Macaca mulatta: one gene and its partner. The protein of the gene in region 1 interacts with the protein of each later gene in a pairwise test. Links are inferred from orthologs where the notes say so. Each region holds a gene or a part of one and is shown in the gene's direction. Other genes may lie near its edges. The genes, in order: TMPO and LMNB2.

Evidence for each region.
Region 2: the proteins of TMPO (region 1) and LMNB2 interact in a two-hybrid assay, tested with the Homo sapiens proteins (2 studies listed by BioGRID, with this or other methods). The link is inferred for Macaca mulatta from reciprocal best matches to the Homo sapiens genes TMPO and LMNB2.

The regions. Positions count from the first base shown.
Region 1 is NC_133416.1:105,806,306-105,810,650, forward strand, and holds the start of TMPO (thymopoietin), read left to right. Parts: upstream 1-1,464; 5' UTR 1,465-1,742; coding exon 1,743-2,021; intron 2,022-4,345. UniProt on the Homo sapiens protein: May help direct the assembly of the nuclear lamina and thereby help maintain the structural organization of the nuclear envelope. Possible receptor for attachment of lamin filaments to the inner nuclear membrane.
Region 2 is NC_133424.1:3,197,174-3,201,503, reverse strand, and holds the start of LMNB2 (lamin-B2), read left to right. Parts: upstream 1-1,431; 5' UTR 1,432-1,545; coding exon 1,546-1,809; intron 1,810-4,330. UniProt on the Homo sapiens protein: Lamins are intermediate filament proteins that assemble into a filamentous meshwork, and which constitute the major components of the nuclear lamina, a fibrous layer on the nucleoplasmic side of the inner nuclear membrane.

The DNA.
Region 1 (4,345 bases):
CATTATACGTACTGGGTTACCAGTCATTGCAAAATCATGGTCCTTTGCCTCTCAGCTCAGTTCCCCTTCTGAAGATAAAAACATTTGCCTATGTGTCCAGGGAAGCCGTAGGGGCAAAAAACCAAGTAACTTTTACAAGGGATCATAAAAATCTACCTAACAACTTGCTAATTAAAACCTGATTTTTAATTTGCATTATTGAGCTTAATACCATTGCTTATATATGGATACTGAGATTTTTATAAACTAGTTACCTCTAGGAAAATATCACTAAAAGAAGTATCTCCTCAATTTGAACAAAAGTAAGTCGCTTAAATCATAGGAAACATTTTTAGTGAAAGCGTTTGTTTTAAATATATTCTAACCTAACAGTGTAGAAAGCAGGCAAACCAAAAAAAATGTAATCAGTTTCTAAAATATAGTTTGGAGCTCAGATTCTGGGGAAATTATTAACACATTCTTGATCCAAGGTCTCCTTTCTTTTCTAGAATCTTTAATCATACATATTCATCAGAAATACAAATATTTGTCATCAGTGATACTAATTTTCAGGCAAACATTTTAATTGCAGTCACTACCAGGTTTTAATTTGGATTAGTAATACGGGTTTGATTAGGGTTCTCGGCCTAATTATAGGTCACTAGGCTTCCTTTAGGATTACGCAACATCTGCTATTTTAAATTGACCATTGAGGGGGTTCCCAAGGGTTCGGCTTCGTTTTGTTATCAAACGTTAGTGGGATCCAAAGCCAGGATCGGTTTCAACAAAAATGCAAGCGCGAATTTGTCTTGAGTCTCAACGCACTGTTCAAATTAAACAATTTAGACATGCCCCAACTACGAGACTAAGAAGTGAACGGTATAGTACACTTTTGTCACAAATTCAAGGGTAAAGTGCCCGATGGTAGAGGTCTGGCTTCTCCCGGGTTTCTGGAACAAAAGAAGCGTTCGCGAGTAGACAGAGGGGTAACTCCCTGCCCTCCCCCTCCCAAAGTAAATCAAATCAAGGAATATGAGTGCCTGCAGACAAGTCTCGCTTCTTTTCTTCCCCTTCATGGCTAGCGTTTGGGGAAGGCAAGGCTGCGGCTACTCTTCGGTGCTTCAGTGTCCCGGGAGGAAGAAAGGCCCAGACAAGGGTCCTCACAGCCGGCGTGGAATTCGGCCGGTTCGTAGGCGATCGACCCCAGAGACGAAAGCTGCTTCTCAAGCTGGGGGAGGGAGAGGAAACGGCGCACAAAAGCAGTACGACCTGTCCCTTATCGGCGTCTAAGGGGAAGGGTGGAGAAAATGAAAACAGAAGCGGGCCGGGCGCCTCGGCTCCCGCCCCAGCGCCTTTTAAACTGCGTTTCTACCTCCTCTCGCTCAGCGCGGCGGCTAATGGAACCCGCGCGGGCCGTCCCGCCAATCACCGCCGCGCTTCCTCCCGTCGCCCGCCAATGGCGCCGCGCGTTCTTGGGGCGTGGGCGAAGCAAGCTGCTCGCCTCCTGCCTGTAGTGTGTAGGCTGGGGTTGGTGCGGGCTTCCAGCTTGGCTGCACTTCGTCCGTAGTTCGGCTCTGGGGTCTTTTGTGTCCGGGTCTGGCTTGGCTTTGTGTCCGCGAGTTTTTGCTCCGCTCCGCAGCGCTCCTACTGGGCAGGAGCCGTGAGGCTCGGAGGCGGCAGCGCGGCCCCCGGCCAGGAGCGAGCGCGCCGGCGTGAGCGGCGGCAGCGAAGGCTGCGGGGAGGGGGCTTCGCAGATCCCCGAGATGCCGGACTTCCTGGAAGACCCCTCGGTCCTGACGAAGGACAAGTTGAAGAGTGAGTTGGTCGCCAACAATGTGACGCTGCCGGCTGGGGAGCAGCGCAAAGACGTGTACGTCCAGCTCTACCTGCAGCACCTCACGGCGCGCAACCGGCCGCCGCTCGCCGCCGGCGCCAACAGCAAGGGGCCCCCGGACTTCTCCAGTGACGAGGAACGCGAGCCCACGCCGATTCTCGGCTCTGTGGCCGCCGCCGCGGGCCGGAGCCGAGCAGCCGTCGGCAGGGTAAGGACGCGGGGCCGGGGCCACAAAGGCGGGCGTTTGGCGGTTGCCGCGCGCGCTCGCCGCCGTTTGCAGCCCCTCCCTCCCGGGCGCCCCCTTGGGCCTCCCAGGTGCGGGGCTGTCCCTGCGCCCCCTCGCGTTGCCCCTTCCCCGCGGGGCTGCAGGCGCTGGAGCGGAGAGGCCAGAAGTTGGGGCACCGGGATTCGCGTTCTTTGACGTGTGTGTCTGGGAGGTGTGGAGTTGCGTTGGTGGCGGTTGTTTTGCACGCGGGCGACGCGGCTTCCCTGGACCACCAGCTGCCGGCAGCGGGCGTTTAGACGGGGACTTCCGTGGCCTTTCGAAAGCTCTGGAGGGGTGGCCCCAAAATGCTATAGGTTAAGTTCGAGCGTTTTCCCGCTTTATTAACTGAAATGACTCGCAGCAGAGTCTCACAGCGCTCCCTGGAGGGCAACTGATGACACACTAATTTCTAACCAAAATTTGAATTAAGGAAATTCCCGCCTTTTTATACTTTTGCGTATGGAGGGCTTTTTGAACCGTTTATGTTTTCTAGTTTAATTTTTCCCACCAACAGGACATCTTTTGGCGGGACGGCTTCACGCAGAATTGAAAGGAACAGTTTAAACTACATTTTAAAGCGCCTATTATAATTTTTAAATATTTATTTATTTATTTTTGAGATGGAGTTTCGCTCCTGTTGCCCAGGCTGGCGTGCAATGGCGTGATGTCGGCTCACTGCCACTTCCGCCTCCCGGGTTCAAGCGATTCTCCTGCCTCAGCCTCCCGAGTAGCTAGGATTACCGGCATGCGTCGCCACGCCCGGGTAATTTTTGTATTTTAGTAGAAACCGGGTTTCTCCATGTTGGTTAGGCCGGTCTCGAACTCCTGACCTCAGGTGGTCCACTCACCTCGGCCTCCCAAGTTCTGGGATAACAGGCGTGAGCCACCGGACCCGGCCCTATAAACAAATATTTGAAAATTACTCACAGTTTGGATTGCGTTTTTCTCCCTTACTGGTAAATTTTGCTTGAGGAAAGGAAAGAGGATTCAGGAAAAATTTATTGCATGACATTCTGGTGCAACAGTATTGCAATTTGGAATGTCTGATCCTGGTTAAATCTCAAATCGGCTCCAGCAAAGCATGTTTTGTTTGAGAATAGTTTGCTTTTTTTCCTGTGGATTTTAATATGCTTTTTGTGTGTTTGCTTATGCCTGCCGAGTTACCAGGCTTCAAGTCGTAGTAGGATGAAGCTAAAACTAGTAATTGGTGTAACATAAAATGCCTTGTAAGAGACAGTGAATGTGGTGTTTGGGGTTGTTGCGAGTTATCACTAGTGTAAACCGAAATTACTCCTTCCTTCAAAGTTTACTTTAGTTTTTAAGGAACCTGTCTAATGTGTTTTCCCAGCTACTCAGGCAAAAATGAAAGACAAATGTAATAGACACAGGTAAATTTAATTGAAAATCTTATCCTAAGTTTTAGAGAAGTTGAACGTCTTAACAAACGTCTTAAGTCCGGTGTGTGACACATAGTAGTGCAAAATAATTGTACAATAAATAAAAGACCTATCACACCTTATTGTTTCAACGTCTTGTTTTGTGGAAAGCTACTTTAATTTATTAATAAACAAATTTACTTTTGAAGTAAAGTGTGCCCTTTTACCCATTATGTTCCCCTGTTCTGAAAAAGAAGGTAGTATTTAAACTCTTTCAGTAGACGTTGGTTGAGGCCGGGCGCGGAGGCTCACTCCTGTAATCCCAGCACTTTGGGAGGTACAGGCGGGTGGATCACCCGAGGTCAGGAGTTCTAGACCAGTCTGGCCCACATGGTGAAACTACTAAAGAAAAAAAAATACAAAAATTAGCCGGGCCTGGTGGCAGGGGCCGAGGCAGGAGAATCGCTTGAACCCGGGAGGCGGAGGTTGCAGTGAACCGAGATCACGCCATCGCAGTCCAGCCTGGGGGACAGAGCGAGACTCCGTCTCAAAAAAAAAAAAAAAACAGTTGTTTGAAAATGAAATATTCAAATCCGCACACTTTATTAAAAAACCTAGTTGTTCTATAGAACCCTTTATCGGTCCTCTGTGCAAATGTATTAAACCGTGAAGTTTTTGGTTGTATGTTTATAATATAATTACTGGTTATTATTTTTAGGCAGGATCTCGCTCTGTCACCCACACCAGAGTGCAGGAGTGTGATCATAGCTTACTGCAGCCTCAAGCTCCTTGGCTCATGAGAGCCTCCTGCCTCAGCTTCCCTGAGTAGCAAGGGCAATGGGGCATACGCCACTATGCCCGGCTAGTTTTTTTATCTTTTTTTCTTTGTTT
Region 2 (4,330 bases), on another chromosome or scaffold:
ATTCACAGCCACCAAGCCAAAGGGGCTCAGTTAACCTGATAGGGGAGTCCCCTCAAAACAGAAGGGGTTAAAACAGACCCTATGAAAAAAGTAACTTTGAATCAACCCATTGGTTTTTATTTCATATTTTTATTTTTACTTTTTTTGAGACAAAGTCTCGCTCTGTCACCCAGGCTGGAATGCAGTGATGTGATCATGGCTCACTGCAACCTTGACCTCTCTTGCTCAAGCAATCCTGCCACCTTAGCCTCCCAAATACCTAGGACTAAAGGCGCCCAGCTAATTTTTTTTTTTTTTTTTTTTTTTAAGATGGAGTCTCACTCTGTTGCCAGGCTGGAGTGCAGTGGTGCAATCTCGGCTCCCTGCAACCTCCGCCTCCCAGGTTCAAGCAATTCTCCTGCCTCAGCTTCCCGAGTAGCTGAGACTACAGGCGTGTGCCACCATGCCTGGCTAATTTTTGTATTTTTAGTAGAGACAGGGTTTCACCATATTGGTCAGGCTGGTCTCGAACTCCTGACCTCGTGATCTGCCCGGCTTGGCCTCCTAAAGTGCTGGGATACAGGTGTGAGCCACTGCACCTGGCTGTTTTTTTTTTATTTTTATTTTTAGAAATGGGGTCTTGCTATGTTGCCCAGGCTAGTCTCAAACTCCTGGGCTCAAACGATCCTCCCACCTCGGCCTCCCAAAGTGCTGGCATTACAGGCGTGAGCAAACCACTATACCTGGCCTGGCTTTTATTTTATTTATTATTTCTCCTTTCTTCAGCCTTTTCTGCTTATAATGTAGAGTGCCCATTCTCTCTGCTCAGCTCGTTTGAGTGCCTATTTCACAGATTGAATGCTGTCCCATTCATGAATTGCTAATAAGAGCCAATGAGATCATTAAACTCAATTTGTTGAAATTCATGCTCCTTGATAGCCTTCTGGACATTTTATATCAGTAGTATTGTACACTATATGGCTTTTTTTTTTGCTTTTTTATTTTTATTTTGAGACAGTTTCCCATTGTTGCCCAGGCTGGAGTGCAGTGCCACGATCTTGGCTCACTGCAACCTCCACCTCCCAAGTTCAAGCGATTCTCCTGCCTCAGCCTCCCCAGTAGCTAGGATTACAGGCATGCGCCTCCATAGTAGAGATGGTGGGGCCTCCCTATGTGGCCCAGGCTGTTCTCGAACTCCTGACCTCAAGTGATCCACCGGCCTTGGCCTCCCAAAGTGCTGGGATTACAGGCGTGAGCCACCACGCCCGGCCCTATAGGGCCTTTTGTGTCTGGTTCTTTGAGCACGTTTTGAGGTTCTCTAAGTGTGGAAACAGGCACTAAAAAGAAACAATGCTGTTTCCTCGTGGCGGAGCTGGGAGTTTGCAGCCAGGCGGTCTGTCTCTGGAGTCAGCGCCTCTGCGAAGCGGGAGCTGGACAGAGACTTCAACTTCCGGCGTGCCCCGCGCGCGCCTGGTGGCCGGACTACCAGTCCCAGGCTGCCCCGCGGCGGCGGGCGGCGGGCGCGGCGCGGCGCGGCGCCATCTTGCAGCCGGCGGCGCGGATTGAATGAGCCCGCCGAGCCCGGGCCGCCGTCGCGAGCAGCGCAGGCCGCGAGCCGCCGCCACCATGGCCACGCCGCTGCCCGGCCGCGCGGGCGGACCAGCCACGCCGCTGTCGCCCACGCGCCTGTCGCGGCTGCAGGAGAAGGAGGAGCTGCGCGAGCTCAACGACCGCCTGGCTCACTACATCGACCGCGTCCGCGCGCTGGAGCTGGAGAACGACCGGCTCCTGCTCAAGATCTCAGAGAAGGAGGAGGTGACCACGCGCGAGGTGGGCGCCGGGGCTTAGGGGTCGGGCGGGGGTGCAGCCGGCAGGCCCCGCCCACCGCGGGGCGCGCGATCTCGGGGACCCGGGGCGGGGGTGCAGACGGGGACGGGCCCCGGCTTCGGAGGTTTCCGCGGGTTTTCGGGGGGCCCCTGAGTGAGGGGTGCAGCTCGGCCAGGCCCCTCCCACCTCGGGGTGTGCGATCGCTGGGACCCTGGGTGCAGACAGGAACGGGCCCGGCTCTCGGGGGTGTCCGGGGGGTTTCGAGGGGCCCCAGAGTGAGCGGTCCAGTTCGTCCAGGCCCCGCCCACCGCGGGGTGCGTGATCGCGGGGACCCTGGGCGGGGGTGCAGACGGGGACAGGCTCTGGCTCAGGGGTCTCCAGGAGGTTTGGGGGCTCCTGAGTGAGGGGTGCTGCTCGGCTAGGCCCAGCCCACCGCGGGGCTCCCAATCGCGGGGAACCCTGAGCTGGGATGCGGACGGGGACAGTCCGGCCTCGGGGATCTCCGACGCGTTTCGGAGAGTGCCTCCTGAGCGAAGGGTGCTACTCGGCCAGGCCCCGCCCACCGCGGGGCGCGCGATCGCGGGGACTCTGAACTACTCCCGGCTCGGGGTCTCCAGGGGGTTTGGGGGGCTCCTGAATGAAGGGTGCAGGCCCTGCCCACCGCGGGGTGCGCCATCGCGGGGACCCTGGGGAGGGGTGCAGACCGGGACAGGTCCCTGCTTGGGGGTCTCCAGGGGGTTTCGAGGGGTCCTTAAGTGAGGGGTGCAGCTCGGCCAGGCCCAGCCCACCGCGGGGTACACGATCACGGAGGACCCTGAGCAGGAGTGGGGACGACCCGGCCTCGGGGATCTCCAGGAGGAGACCCTGAGTGAGGGGTGCCGCCTGGGCAGAGCCTGCTCACCGCAGTTTCCTAGATCTTGGGGGACCCCATGGGAGGGGTGCAGATGGGAATGGCCCATTCTCTCAGGGGCCCCCAGGAGTTTCCAGGGCATTGAGGGAGAAGTGCAGACCAGGAATGCCCCACCTATGGAGGGGGTCCCAGGAGATCTTCGGTGTCCTGAGTGAAGGCTGCAGAGGCGCCTCCAGCTAGCTCCGGGGACCCTTCTGTGAGAGGTGTGTTCTGGGGCCATGAGGGTTGCAGACTAGGGCTCCCCACCAAAGAGAGGTCCTGGGGATTTGGGGGCTCCCTGAGTATTGGGCTGCAGCCCACCATGTGCCTCATCCCTCAGAGGATTCCAAGGAGACTTGGTGGACCCCCGCCAACTGAGGGGGTGTGAGTGGGAGTCTCTGGGGATGAAGCTGGGTGTTGGGGCATCTGGGGGGGAATGGGGGTGGTCTCTGGGCTCTGAAGAGACTGGGGGGCCCAGGCCCTCTGAGGAGGCCCATGATGGGGTGTGTGGGGGGGTCTTCCTGGAGTCTCTGGGGTGAGTCACGTGGTCTCAGTTCTCCCTGGAGCTTTAGTGAGTTCCCTGATGAATCCAGGAGAGATTGGTGACTGGGGTGGGAATTAGGCCCCTCATCTCTCACCCGGGCGGGGGGTGGGGGATAGGGGGCCAAGGGAGAGGTTCTGATACCTTGGAGTCCCATGGGAAATTTCGCAGGCCCTTATCTGTGCCCTGGGGTCATTGGTGGCCTGGCAGGTTCTGTCCCCAAGGGAATATGAAGGAAGCGGGAGAGCTGGGGTCTTGGGTCCAGAGGAAAGTGTTGAGGTTCTGAATGGACCCCGAGGCTTCAGTGCGGACTGAAGGAGAAAGGGCTGGAAAGTCTGCCCGTCAAGGGGGCGTGAGGTCGGGGTGTCTTGGGGTCTGGGTGCCATCTGTCCTGCTCCCCAACCTAACCCTGGGGAGGCTGTTTGTCCCTCCCGCTGGCCATGCCCAATTCAAGGACAGGACTCCAGAACGGTGGGCAGGCAGGAGCACCCACTTGATTCCTGCCATGGGTTGGGGGTCCTGGGGTCCCCAGGTCCCAGCATCCTGTTGGGAGAGCCAGGTGCTGAAGTCGGGATTTGCAGCTCCCAGCCCCCACTCGCCCATCTGGAGATCAGAGGACCTGGTGGGCTTCTGGGAGAAAAGCTGCTTGTTGAGGGGGTCAGGTCGTTTCTGGGAGCCACTTACCCTCTGTGTGACCTTGGGCTAGTCCCTTACCCTCTCTGAGTCTCAGTGCCCTCGCCTTTGGAATGGGCATAATTATAATACTCAGCTCTTGTGTGTGGGGCCACAGCAGGTTAGCTTTTGTTTAGTGGCTCCCTGTGGGTTCTGCTGTCACAGTGCCCTGGGGACAGGGAACCTGAAAGAATGTAGCTGGTGCCTTCAGGGAGGTAGAAGGAAGATCAGTGCTTGGTGGGGTCCCCTGCTGTTTTTTTTTTTCCTTTTTTTTTTTTTGAGTTGGAGTCTCGCTCTGTCGTCCAGGCTGGAGTGCAGTGGTGTGATCTTAGCTCCCTGCACCTCTGCCTCCCGGGTTCAAGCAATTCTCCTGTCCCCGCCTCCTGAGTAGCTGGGATTACAGGTGTGCGCCACCACGCCTG